Linked DNA regions of Canis lupus familiaris. The protein of the gene in region 3 purifies or fractionates together with the protein of the main gene of each other region. This does not show direct contact. Links are inferred from orthologs where the notes say so. Each region holds a gene or a part of one and is shown on either strand. Other genes may lie near its edges. The genes, in order: PPP1R7, PPP1R11 and UBXN2A.

Region 1 (4,126 bases), on a different chromosome or scaffold from region 3:
GACGGGGCAAGGACGCCTAGAGAACGCAGGCTGCCAGCTCCGGGCGGACTGTGCGCGGGCGCGGCCGGGCCCCGGGCACCCCTACACACACCCTCGTTCTCCCCGGGCCCCCCCCCCCACACACACACACGCGGGTCTCCCCGGGCCCCCTCCCCCTACACACACACACACACACACACACACACACACACACACACACCGGCCTCCCCCACACACGCGGGTCGCCCCGGGTCCCGGGCCAGGGCACCGCAAACGGCCGCAAGGTGGCAGCGGGCCCCCCCGGGCGGAGCCGCACGGAGGGGACGCGGGGGGCGCGGGGCTCCCGGGCTCGTCCGCCGGCCGCCTCCCCCGGGGCAGGCATCCATCTCACCTGCGGCCCGCCTGGGCCAAGCCGCCAAATTCGCCTCGCCGCGCGGGGAGGGGCTGATCGGCCGCACCGGCCAATCGCAGAACGACTCGCGTCGATGGACAGGCGCCGCGAGCCAACCAGTAGCGCCTGTGGGCGGGACTCCGCGAGCCGGCGCCCAGAAGCCCGCGCTAACGGTTGCTAGGGACGCACCGGTCTCCCCTTACGGCGCCCCGGAGGAGCCAAAAGAGACGGCGCCCCCGCCCACCGGGTCTGACCAACTCGGCAGCTCTGGTCTCCGAATCCGGAAGGGTGAGCGGCGCGGGGCTCCCCGTCTGCAGCCCGGGAGGCGGGGGGCGCGGGGAGGCTCCCTCAGCGGCGGGGCCGGCGGAGGCTGCGGCCCGCAACGATGGGCGACGTCCCGGACCCCGACGGGCGCCCCCCCGCCGGCGGGCGGCCCCGGCTCCGACCCCGGCTCCAGCGCGGGCGCCCTGCGCGGAGCGTTAACCGGAGGCAGCCGCCGCTCACGGACTGAGTCCGCGCAGCGACGTCGGGACGAAGTCAGCCGCGGTGCAGACGCAGCGGCGGAGCCCGGAGGGGCCGGCACGCACTCGGGGGACCCGCACGGTGCAGCCCCACGCGGAGACCCTGCACGAGCCCGCGCGCCCCCAGCATCTCCCAGGCGCTTCCCTCCGCTTGCCTGCAGCCACGGTCCCGTGCGTCTTGCTCCTCCCCGCTGCTCGCCTCCGGACGCCTCCGGACGCCTGCGGTGCGCGCTCAGACTACCTGTCCCGGGGAGGTGAGGCGGGCTGCTCCCGCGGCGGGGGCCCTCATGGCCTGCCCCGTGAACTACAATTCCCATGAGACACTGGGGCCGCGCAAGCGCGTCGGGGTTCAAGCCTGGCGTGGGAGCCCATTGGCTGAGCTGGCGCCGAGCCGGGAGCCCTGATTGGCCGAGGGGCCTGAGGCCACAGATTCCGGAAAGGGGAAGAGCAGCCAACATGGCGGCGGAACGCGGCGCGGGCCAGCAACAGTCGCAGGAGATGATGGAGGGTGAGCGGCTCCGCGGGGCGGCGGCCCGAGGGCCCGGGCGGGCGGGGGGCGGCGGCCCGCAGCGGCCTCGCCTGAGAGAAGCGGGCCGTCCGGGCTGCGGCTGCCGCTCCGGCTCGGGCCCCGCCGCGCGCGCTGACAGCTGCCGGCTCGGGGGCAGGGGCAGGGGCAGGGGCAGGGGCGGCCCCGGCCCCGGGGACCCGGCAGAGGCTGCAGCGGCCGGGAGGGCGCGGGCGGCGGGGCGCGGACGGGCGGCGGGGCCGGGTACGCCGGGCGTGCTGCTGGCGGGCGCCGCGCCCCGAACCTCCGAGCCCGGCAGCTCCTGGGGAAACTGAGGCGCGCGGCGGCGCGGAGGGAAGGGCTGGGCGGGAGCCGAGCGGCCCGGGCCCTCTGGCCCCAAGACGCTAAATCCGACCCTTTAGCTCCGTTGGAAAAAAATAATAATGATCCGCACGTGGTGCCCGCGTCGGCGGCCTGGGCGGGGGTCCCGGTCGGGGCAGCCCCTCACCCGGGCGCCAAGTGCCGGGAGGAAGGGGGGGCCCGGGCACCTGCACACGGGGCCGGGGGAGGACGGAGGCAAGGACCGTGGAGGGAAGCGGCCAAGAGTGACCGCCCGGTCGGAGGAGGGCGGCAGGGGAAGGCCGGGGCGGCCCCGCGAGGGGCTGGGTGTTTGGCAGCCAGGAGACAGCCCTCGCTCCGTCCGCCGCACGTCGCCCTTTCGGAGTCTGGGTGAATGGCACGTGCAAAAGCCAAGTGATTCCGTCCCCGGCCCGGCCCGGCCGTCCCCACCCATCCCGTTACCCAGCAAGCTCCCTAGCACGTCCTGGCATCTCCAGGTCTTCAGTGCCTCCTCCGTTCCCACTGCCCATGCTGTGGGCCAGCCCCTTGCTCCCGGGATCCCGAAACTGCACCATAATTGGATCCGCTGCCCCAGCTGCGGACCGTCTGCTGCCTGCAGGGTGGTCCCGCGTTGCACTTTGGCCTCCCGTCGTCAGGCGGAGTCCCTGCCGCCCTGGGCACAGCCACACTATGCCCAGTGGAAGGCGCCCTCCCTTAGCCTCGGCCACAGAGTGCCCCGTGCGTGGTAGCAGCTAACTGCCGAGTGTTTAGTGCGGGTCATGCACATGCCGACTGCCCCGGAGGCTTTTCTGCGTTAGTCCGGACAGCACCTCTGGTCTGTGGGGCCTGTCCCAGCCCCCTGGTTACAGATGCAGAGAGCGAGGCTTGGGAAAGCCAACAGCCTGTTGGCACCGGGTCTCTAAGGGCAACGTGAAATCTTCAGCAGGAGCCCCCGGCATTCCAGAAACCTGTAGAGTCAGAGCTCAGATTCGGATGTTAGAATCGCATCAGATGCTCTGGGAATGCAGAATAGATGAGACAAAGCCCAAAAAAAAGCCACAGAGAGACCAGTTAGGAGGCCAGGAGGGAGCCCAGGCAGTCGCCAGAGGGGGGCAGAAGCAATGGATTTGGCGGTTTGGGAGGCGGAGTTCATAAGGACTTGGTTTTATCCAGCAGTCGCTTCCCAGGCGCGCTTTTCTCGGCCCAGGAGGAGGTACAGAGAAGAAGTAAAACTACTTTTCCCCCAAAGAGTGCACCCCTTTGTGGACGAGGCGTAGCAAGGATGATTGAGGACTCCCAGGGATTTATTCCTGTTTCAGCTCTTTGAGACAGACTGCCAATGGAGACGATGAAAAAAGTCTGGAGAAGGGAAGATTATTTGACGGTCTTAGCAAAGAAATTTTGCCAGTCTGCCACGTTTAGTCATTGCCTTATCTATCAATTCAGAAAGTACTTATTTACCAGCCTTTCAAAGCAGTTAGCTGGTATCACTGTGTGCTGATGTTTGGCATCGGTGACCTTTATGTGGGGCGTTTGGCGCTACTGGCTGTCTTCGCCTTTTTCATTACAGCCCCCCCCTCTGCCCACAGTCTGATTTGAGTTAGTCTTGATTTCTTTCAGAACGTGGGCCTGTGAACTGGGCTGGTTTTCTTGGCCAAATGGATAGTGGAGCGTGGATGAAGGTATGTGGTGGAAGGGTCACACTGGTCCCCTCTACGTGGACATCCAGGCCAAAAGCAAGCCGCACAGGAGGCGTTCACTGTGTGTCACCCATTAGTACCTGGTCACAAATGACCCAGGGCTTTCAGAACACCTGGTAATGCTTCACAGTGTCCTCGAGGGCAGGAATAGTAGCTGCTCATCTCAGTACCCGCGTGTCCTTCCCGCTCTGCCCTCCCACACACAAATTGTCCCCAGCACCGTGCACCTCAGGTGGCGCCCAAGACGCGGAAGACACTCAAATGTTTGTCGAGCTGACTTCAACCGATGTTTTTCAATGAAGTCTTTTTGACTTACAGCTGGATGTCCGTCTGTTAAATGTTCCTCGGGGAGTCACGTAAAGTGGCTGTGAATTCTTACGGATGTGTGTGGGCTCAGTTGACAGGCGGGTCGAGTCTGAAGAATCTGGCGATGAGGAAGGGAAGAAGCAGAGCAGCGGTATAGTGGCCGACCTCAGTGAGCAGAGCCTGAAGGATGGAGAGGAGCAGGGAGAAGAGGACCCAGAAGGTACCAGGCCCAGTTAAGAGCCTTCAACTCTCTAAGGGGGGAGGGTGCAGCCGTGTGGTGCATGATCTGCTCTGCCCCACCCCACCGCCTTGGGTGGTGGGCAGGCCAGGGCAGTGGGGGCTGCTCTGGGCAGTGGGACGACTGCTGTGCGAGAGGGGCATTCCT
Region 2 (4,096 bases), on a different chromosome or scaffold from region 3:
TTTTTTTTTTAAGTAATTACAAGTATTCCATGACTAAATGTATTTGGTTCCTGAGTTTAGGGAAACAAAGCAGGAGCCCAGATGCTGGGAGATAAGCAGATAACGTAACCAGATGTGTCTGACGTGTGAGCTGGAACAAGGAGAAGTCTGATACTAAGGTTTACCAGTATATGCTGAACACATTGGACATTTTGAAAATTGTATTTTTTTATTGCTGTTGACATAAATGTATATTCATTGTGATAAATTCATATATGGAAAGGTAGAGTAAAAAATGACAAGGAATCCTACTTCAGAGAGATACTTTTTTTTTTTTTTTTAAATGGGCTTTACTACGAATACAAGTTGTATCTTGCTTTTTATCACATTGAACGAAATTTTGTAGTCCGGCCACAATAAACATTCAAACTTAGTTTGGAGTCAATTTTTGCATTCCTTGGCTTGCACACTGCCCGGTCCTTTGTGTGTTCTGAGCTCTGAGACTTTCCCTGAGGTGTCTGAGCCCCGGGCGACGTAGTGGGAACTGATGGGACGGGCAGGGCGGACTTCCCTGACCACTTCTGTTAACAGGCATCGTCCAGAGTCTCCTCCCCGGTTGCTGCCGGATGCCACCGCCGGCGGCGGCCCTCACCCCTCCCGCCGCGGCTGGTGCAGGCTCCCCAAGCTTTCCCTGCAGAACCTCATGCCTGCAGCACGCACCTGGCCTCACCCGCACCTGCCAACCAGGCCCCTTTGGCCATCTCTGCCCGACAAAAAGGCAGGTGCTCCGTGGACCGCAGCTCGGCCTCTGCTGTCGGTAGCTCTTGCGGGCCACTCGGTAGCGGATTTCACCGCCACGCCCCGCAGCCTCGCTCACGTCAGCATCTCAGAGCCCGCACGTTATTCCTACACCCACGAGGCCCCCAGAGGACTGCGGGAGGCCGAGGAGGGGGAGGGGGATTCCCGGCGGCGCCTAAGGGAGCCCAGCCCTGACCTGGCGCTTGCACCTGCTGGAGCTCCGGGGCCGGTGCTCCAGTCCGGGACCAGGCGCCGCGCGGCGGGGGTCCCGGCGCCCGCACCACGCACCTGGGTAACCGCATCCCATACCCTGCGCCCAGCCAGGGACCTGCGCCCCGCCCCCGCGGCCCTCGGGGACCGCGCTCCCGCCGGGTCTCGGGCCGCGCCTGCGCAACGTCCGCTCCCCGCAGCGTCGCCTTCTCTGCGGGCTGCGGCACCTGCTCACCGTCACGTGACGGGAGAACTAGTCCGGCGGCGCATGCGTCCGGAGACCTTCGGCGCCAGGAAGGGACGGCGACGGCGGAGTGCGTCACACCCGGAAGCGGCGAGCCGGAAGTGGAGCTGGGCAGGTTACCCCGGGGGGAAGCGGAGGCCGAGGAGGAGGGGCCGAGGCGCTGGAGGGTCCTGGCTGCTCCTCCGAATCCGATCCCGATCCCGATCCCGGTCCGGTCGTCTTAGAGCTCGGAGACACCGGGAAGGCCGCTTCCTGCCCCGCCGCCCTCTGCCCTCTCCGCAGCCTCAGCCATGGCCGAGGCAGGAGCCGGGCTGAGTGAGACCGTCACGGAGACCACCGTTACCGTGACAACTGAGCCCGTGAGAAAGGCGGGGGACGGTGGCGCCCGCGGCGGGGACGGGGACGGGCCGGGGGCGGGGGCGGGGCGGGGTCAGGGCTGCGGAGGGGGCGGGCGGGGGGGGGGGGCGTGCTGGGGACTCGGAGCTGGCGCGGGAGCCTAGGGGGACCCCGGGGGCAGGGCCCAGCGGTGGTTCCGTTGCAGAAGGCGCACCACAGGCTCAGAGTCGGGGCGGGGGACCCCGGGGCGCCCCCTGGGTCGGGAAGCACCTGACGGACGGCCGCCCGTGAGCGCCCCTCGAGGACACCAGGGCATGATGTGGGAGTCCGAAGAGGTGCAGCTCGGGACCGGAGTGCGCTGGGCTGCACGCCTTGTTGAGGGCCCTGGCAGGACCGGGGCGGGGGCTGGGTGCACGGGTGCGGGCGCAAGCCCGGGAGGGTCCGGGGATCCTCACAGTGAGCCGCAGGTGAAGGTTAGGTCCTGGGCGCTGAGAAAATCCTCCTCGAGCATTAGTCACACCGAGGCCGATGTGGGGAGGAGGATGGAGAGACGGAGAGGGTTGAGCTTTCCCTGGAAGATGTGCGGGGACCCTCCTAGGTTAGTTGTGTTTTCTCTGTCCACGAAGCTGGGATGGACACAGAATATGAAGCGGCAGAATTCCCCAGGGACCCGGAGGTCACACACTTGTGCGCTACCCCACCTGCGCCGGGCCCCTCTGCCACCCTGGGTGGGGCCTGATGGACTGGGGTGGGGGGTGCTGGGAGACATGACCCCCCAGGGAGGGATGAGGAAGGGACGGCCAGAGGGGACCAGATGGCTATGTCTGTCTTTCCCCACCTTCCAGGAGAACCGGAGCCTGACCATCAAACTGCGGAAACGGAAGCCAGAGAAGAAGGTAGAATGGACGAGTGACACTGTGGACAATGAGCACATGGGGCGCCGCTCATCCAAATGTGAGTGCTCACTGCCCTGCTGCCCATCCCCACCCCACCACCCAGCTCTGGGTGGGGGAGCCCAGGTGCCTCCTCTGTGCCCCCACCCCTCTTGGCCTTCCTTCTCACACCTGACCACCCTGAGGCCCCCAGCTGCTAACAGCCTTGTCACAGCCTGGGTGGTTCTCTGGCTTCGGGGACATGGATTAAGGTTATAGGGGAGACATGGAAGTGCCTGGGATTGGCAGGTTTGTGTGCCTGAGCCCCAGGGGCAGCGGGGCTAGAGAAGCTGGACCCTGGAAGGAGAAGGAGCCAGTGCTGACACCCAATAGGAGTACAACTGATTATATGTTAACTGGTGCTCCTTTCCTGGCCTCCTCCCTCCGAATCCAGGTTGCTGTATTTACGAGAAACCTCGGGCCTTTGGCGAGAGCTCCACTGAGAGTGATGAGGAGGAAGAGGAAGGCTGTGGTCATACACACTGTGTTCGGGGCCACCGCAAAGGACAGCGTCGTACAACCCCAGGACCAAGCCCCACCAGCCCTCCGCAGCCTCCTGACCCCTCCCAGCCCCCTCCAGGGCCAATGCAGCACTAAATTCCTCTCTCCCCCACCACTCCTGTGTTTGTCTGGCCCTGACTGTATTCATGTGGCTACCTGGGGACTAAACCCACATGGTTTGATCCCTCTCCAGCCCTTCTCCCTGCTCCTCTGCCTGACGGAGGGAAGATAGGAGGGTCCACAGAGATCCTGGAATTCTAACTTGCTGCTATTCCAGAGCCCAGACTTTTGGGTTCCCCCAGCCCTCGTTTCTCCTTCCAGTATTCATCCTCTGCTCTCCAGGGATTCAGGCGTCACGGTCCTCGTCTCTCCCCTTCGTTCTCACTGCCAAACTACCTGTCCTAGGATCCAATTATCGTGTGTGGCCCCTTGCATTCTTTCCTGGAGTCCCAAACGCTGAAATGGGGTTTTCAGCTGCCCCGGCTTTCACTGCCAGGGTCCCTGTCAGATTGGGGGCAGTGTTCCCCAGCTATGCCTGTTAATCCTGGCTCAGAGTTCTTCCAGTTACATATTTATATCACCCGAAGTCCTCGTCCTTACCTGTGGGATCCAAGGTCTCCCAGGAGACCTGAGGGCTCCCGGCAAGCTCCCGACCCTTCCCCTCTCCTGTCCTCCTCCCTCATGCCCTCCAGAGGAGCTGAGGGAGAGAGGTCTGTGCTTTCTCATCTTTAATGGGAGATGTAAAAGGAAACAGGTATGGCCTCTTCTCACCCTTCTCATAAGATAAAGGATTGCCAACACTTGAAGACTGGTCACTTAGAGCCAACAATCTCCTCCGTCTTCTGGCATCAGAGACCAATCCTACACAGTCCCAGGGCCCTGGGTCCCTGAGAGAGGAAAGAAAATGCAGGGAGCACAGAGAAGGGGCATGTCCCAGACAGTACCCTCATCCTCCTGCCTTCCAAAGCCCAGATGTCCAGCTCTCTGCCCTTCCCACTCCTTACTGGGATCTTGACATTTTCTAGGCCTCTGTGCCATGCACAGTTGCAGAGATGAGTCAAATCCATACCACCACTGAGATCTCATTTATTGCCAC
Region 3 (3,629 bases):
CCTTAGTGTAAATTAACATATACTGACAGTACATTAAGAAATCATGGGGATCCCTGGGTGGCGCAGTGGTTTAGTGCCTGCCTTTGGCCCAGGGTGCGATCCTGGAGACCCGGGATCGAATCCCACATCGGGCTCCCGGTGCATGGAGCCTTCTTCTCCCTCTGCCTGTGTCTCTGCCTCTCTATCTCTCTCATGAATAAATAAATAAAATCTTTAAAATTTAAAAAAAAAAAAAAGAAGAAAAAGAAATCATGGAGTCTTTTTTGATGTAACCAAATTAAAAGGACCTAGATTATTGAGGACCTTAGGCAATTCATGGGCAAATCTTTTTTCTCCTTTGCACCCACTACGTGAGCATTGCCATTAATGTTACAGAGTACATATGCTAGCTTCTGAATATAGGGTACGTTTTATAATTACCAGTGCCTTCCACATTATATTCTGTGATAAGTATCTGAATTTGAAGTAATAAAAATGAAAAAATGAGTGATAAAGTTAGTATCCCTATCAAAGCCTTTAACTGTCAAATTTACAGTCTTCATCATATGTAAGTAGGTTAGGTTTTTTTTTTTCATTTTTTTAAAATTTTTATTTATTTATGATAGTCACACAGAGAGAGAGAGAGAGAAAGAGAGAGGCAGAGACATAGGCAGAGGGAGAAGCAGGCTCCATGCACCAGGAGCCCGATGTGGGATTCGATCCCAGGTCTCCAGGATCGGGCCCTGGGCCAAAGGCAGGCGCTAAACCACTGCGCCACCCAGGGATCCCTTTTTTTTCAGTTTTATTTATTTATGATAGAGAGAGAGAGAGGCAGAGACATAGGCAGAGGGAGAAGCAGGCTCCATGCACCGGGAGCCCGACGTGGGATTCGATCTCGGGTCTCCAGGATCGTGCCCTGGGCCAAAGGCGCCTAGGCGCCAAACCACTGTGCCACCCAGGGATCCCACGTTTTTTTTTTTCTAAGATTTTATTTATTTATTCATGAGAGACACATACACAGAGAGAGAGAGGCACAGACACAGGCAGAAGCAAGCTCCATGCAGGGAGCCCAACGTGGGACTTGATCCTGGGTCTCCAGGACCACACCCTGGGCTGAAGGTGACGCTAAACTGCTGAGCCAGCTGGGCTGCCCTCTAAGTAGGCTTTATGACAGTATACAAAGAGGTTAGATATGTGGTCAGTCTTATGAATTCTCATAGATTATCCAGATTGATAAAGATATCTGTATATTCATCCACACATATAAAATTATTCAGATGTGACTTTCAGAATAATCAGGATATACTTTGCTTCCTTCCCCCCCCCCCCCCCCGCTCCCCTTTCTAATACAAGAACTAATTTCTATAGAGAAATACAGGGCTCAGACTCAACTGAGCTATCCAGCACATTCCCCCCTGCCTTTTTTTTTCTTTTTTTTTTTTTTTCTTTTTATTTATGATAGTCACACACATAGAGAGAGAGAGAGAGAGAGGCAAAGACATAGGCAGAGGGAGAAGCAGGCTCCATGCACCGGAAGCCCGACATGGGATTCGATCCCGGGTCTCCAGGATCGCGCCCTGGGCCAAAGGCAGGCGCCAAACCGCTGCGCCACCCAGGGATCCCCTGCCTTTGTTTTCTTTCTGTTTTCTTGGCCTGTTTTTGTTTTTGAGAACTTCTAAATTCTTATAGAAATTTTAATCTGGGGAATAGTACATAAAGGTAAAGTTTACAGATATGTCAGCCCTATAAAATTGTCTATTCTGTAAGACATTATTTGAATAATTACTCACAATATGTTTACATAGCACTCTACAGTCTTACAAGTTACTTGGATATGTATAATTTCATTAGGTGCCTACATTCATCATATATGATGGACATAAGTAATATTATATCTTTGTGTTTTTATTGAGCTGTGACTTAATAAAATCTTCCTAAAAGGTATACTTAATGTAAAAGTTTTATAGTAATTGTTCAGTGATTAAGTTCTGCTTAATAACGATATTCATCTAACTTTGTTGTCTGGCTTTTCTTAGTGCCACACCAAAAATTGTTTCTAAGTCAAAGAGTATTGAAGTTGAGAATAAAAATAATTTGTCTGTTGTTCAACTAAACAACCTGGAACCCATCACTAATGTACAGATCTGGTTAGCCAATGGAAAAAGGATTGTCCAAAAATTTAACATTTCTCATAGGTGAGTCTTCCATTTCATTATTTGTCTGAATTTTTTCATGTTTAAATTTCTTTTCAGGTCATTCAGCAGTTTTTAAGAATTAACCAAGAATCTACCAGTTCTCTAAACATAATATATCTTGATAGTAGAAATTTTGGAAATTAATGAAGTATTTTCAGTTTGTTTTAGGATTATCATTTTTATCATTTGATTGGTTTTCCTGTATAACTAGATACATAATTTTTATTTTATTTAAGATTTATTTATTTATTTTTAGGGGGTCCCTGGAGAGAGAGAGAGAGAATCTCTTAGGACATACTAAAAATAATTACTTTATGGGGCACCTGGGTGGCTTAGTTGGTTAAGTGTCTGCCTTCGGCCTCAGGTCATGATCCCAGGGTCATGAAATCGAGTGCTGCATCGGGCTCCTTGCTCAGAGGGGAGCCTGCTTCTCCCTCTGCCTCTGCCTTCTGCTTCCCCTGCTTGTGCGTGGGCTCTCTCTCTCTCACTCTCTCTCTCTCTCTGTCTCTGTCAAATAAATTTTTCAAATCTTAAAAATAATAATTCTTTTAAAATTACATATCTAGGGCAGCCCGAGTGGCTCAGCGGTTTAGCACCACCTTCGGCCCAGGACGTGATCCTGGAGATCCGGGATCGAGTCCCACCGTTGGGCTCCCATGGAGCATGCTTCTCCCTCTGCCTGTGTCTCTGCTTCTCTCTCTTTTTCTCTCTCTGTGTCTGTCTCTCAGGAAAAAATAAATAAAATCTTTAAAAAAAAAATTATATATCTAAGGGGCTCCTGGGATTGAGCCTTGTTTTGGGCTCTCTGCTCAGTGGGAAGTCTGCTTTTCCCTCTCCCTCTGCCCTTCTCTCTGCTCATGCTCTCACGTGCTCTCTCTCTCTCTCTCAAATAAATAAAATCTTTAACAAGAAAAAGATTCTCTCTCCCCCTCTTCTTCTGCCCCCCCTTTACTACACACACACACACACACATATATACACTAACCCAGAATATATACCAGTATATTTATGTGCCTTTACTTGATCATCTCTTTCTTTTTGTGCAAGAAGTGCTGTATTCTGAATGTTGTGTTAATGATTTTTCTTTTATTTATTATTTTATTAAGTACATATGTATATTAGAAAATACTGAGTTGCTTTGCTCATTTTCAAATAATTAGTTTAGATTTTTTTATTTTTAAGATTTTATTTATTTGTTCATGAGAGACACAGAGAGGGGCAGAGACACAGGTAGAGGGAGAAGCAGGCTCCATGCAGGGAGCCCGATATGGGACTTGATCCCAGAACTCCAGGATCACGCCCTGAGCCAAAGGCAGACGCTGAACTGCTGAGCCACCCAGGCATCCCTCGTTTAGATTGTAAAGCAGTCATAAATAGGGCTCCTGGGTGGCTCAGTCAGTTAAGTGTCTGGCTTTTGGTTTCTGCTCAGGGTATAGTTTCAGAGTCATGAGATCA

The links.
Region 1: the proteins of UBXN2A (region 3) and PPP1R7 purify together in Homo sapiens (affinity purification with mass spectrometry; 3 studies listed by BioGRID and IntAct, counting the BioPlex papers as one, with this or other methods). This does not show direct contact. The link is inferred for Canis lupus familiaris from reciprocal best matches to the Homo sapiens genes UBXN2A and PPP1R7.
Region 2: the proteins of UBXN2A (region 3) and PPP1R11 purify together in Homo sapiens (affinity purification with mass spectrometry; 3 studies listed by BioGRID and IntAct, counting the BioPlex papers as one, with this or other methods). This does not show direct contact. The link is inferred for Canis lupus familiaris from reciprocal best matches to the Homo sapiens genes UBXN2A and PPP1R11.

Annotation. Positions count from the first base shown.
Region 1 is NC_049246.1:51,237,987-51,242,112, forward strand, and holds the start of PPP1R7 (protein phosphatase 1 regulatory subunit 7), read left to right. Parts: upstream 1-1,244; 5' UTR 1,245-1,347; coding exon 1,348-1,399; intron 1,400-3,355; exon of another isoform or gene 3,356-3,417; intron 3,418-3,832; coding exon 3,833-3,973; intron 3,974-4,126. UniProt on the Homo sapiens protein: Regulatory subunit of protein phosphatase 1.
Region 2 is NC_049256.1:27,782,184-27,786,279, forward strand, and holds the start of PPP1R11 (E3 ubiquitin-protein ligase PPP1R11), read left to right. Parts: upstream 1-1,291; 5' UTR 1,292-1,521; coding exon 1,522-1,590; intron 1,591-1,772; exon of another isoform or gene 1,773-1,881; coding exon of another isoform or gene 1,882-1,902; intron 1,903-2,412; coding exon 2,413-2,521; intron 2,522-2,893; coding exon 2,894-3,096; 3' UTR 3,097-4,096. UniProt on the Homo sapiens protein: Atypical E3 ubiquitin-protein ligase which ubiquitinates TLR2 at 'Lys-754' leading to its degradation by the proteasome.
Region 3 is NC_049238.1:18,538,908-18,542,536, forward strand, and holds part of UBXN2A (UBX domain-containing protein 2A), read left to right. Parts: intron 1-2,015; coding exon 2,016-2,174; intron 2,175-3,629. UniProt on the Homo sapiens protein: Acts to repress the ubiquitination and subsequent endoplasmic reticulum-associated degradation of CHRNA3 by the STUB1-VCP-UBXN2A complex in cortical neurons.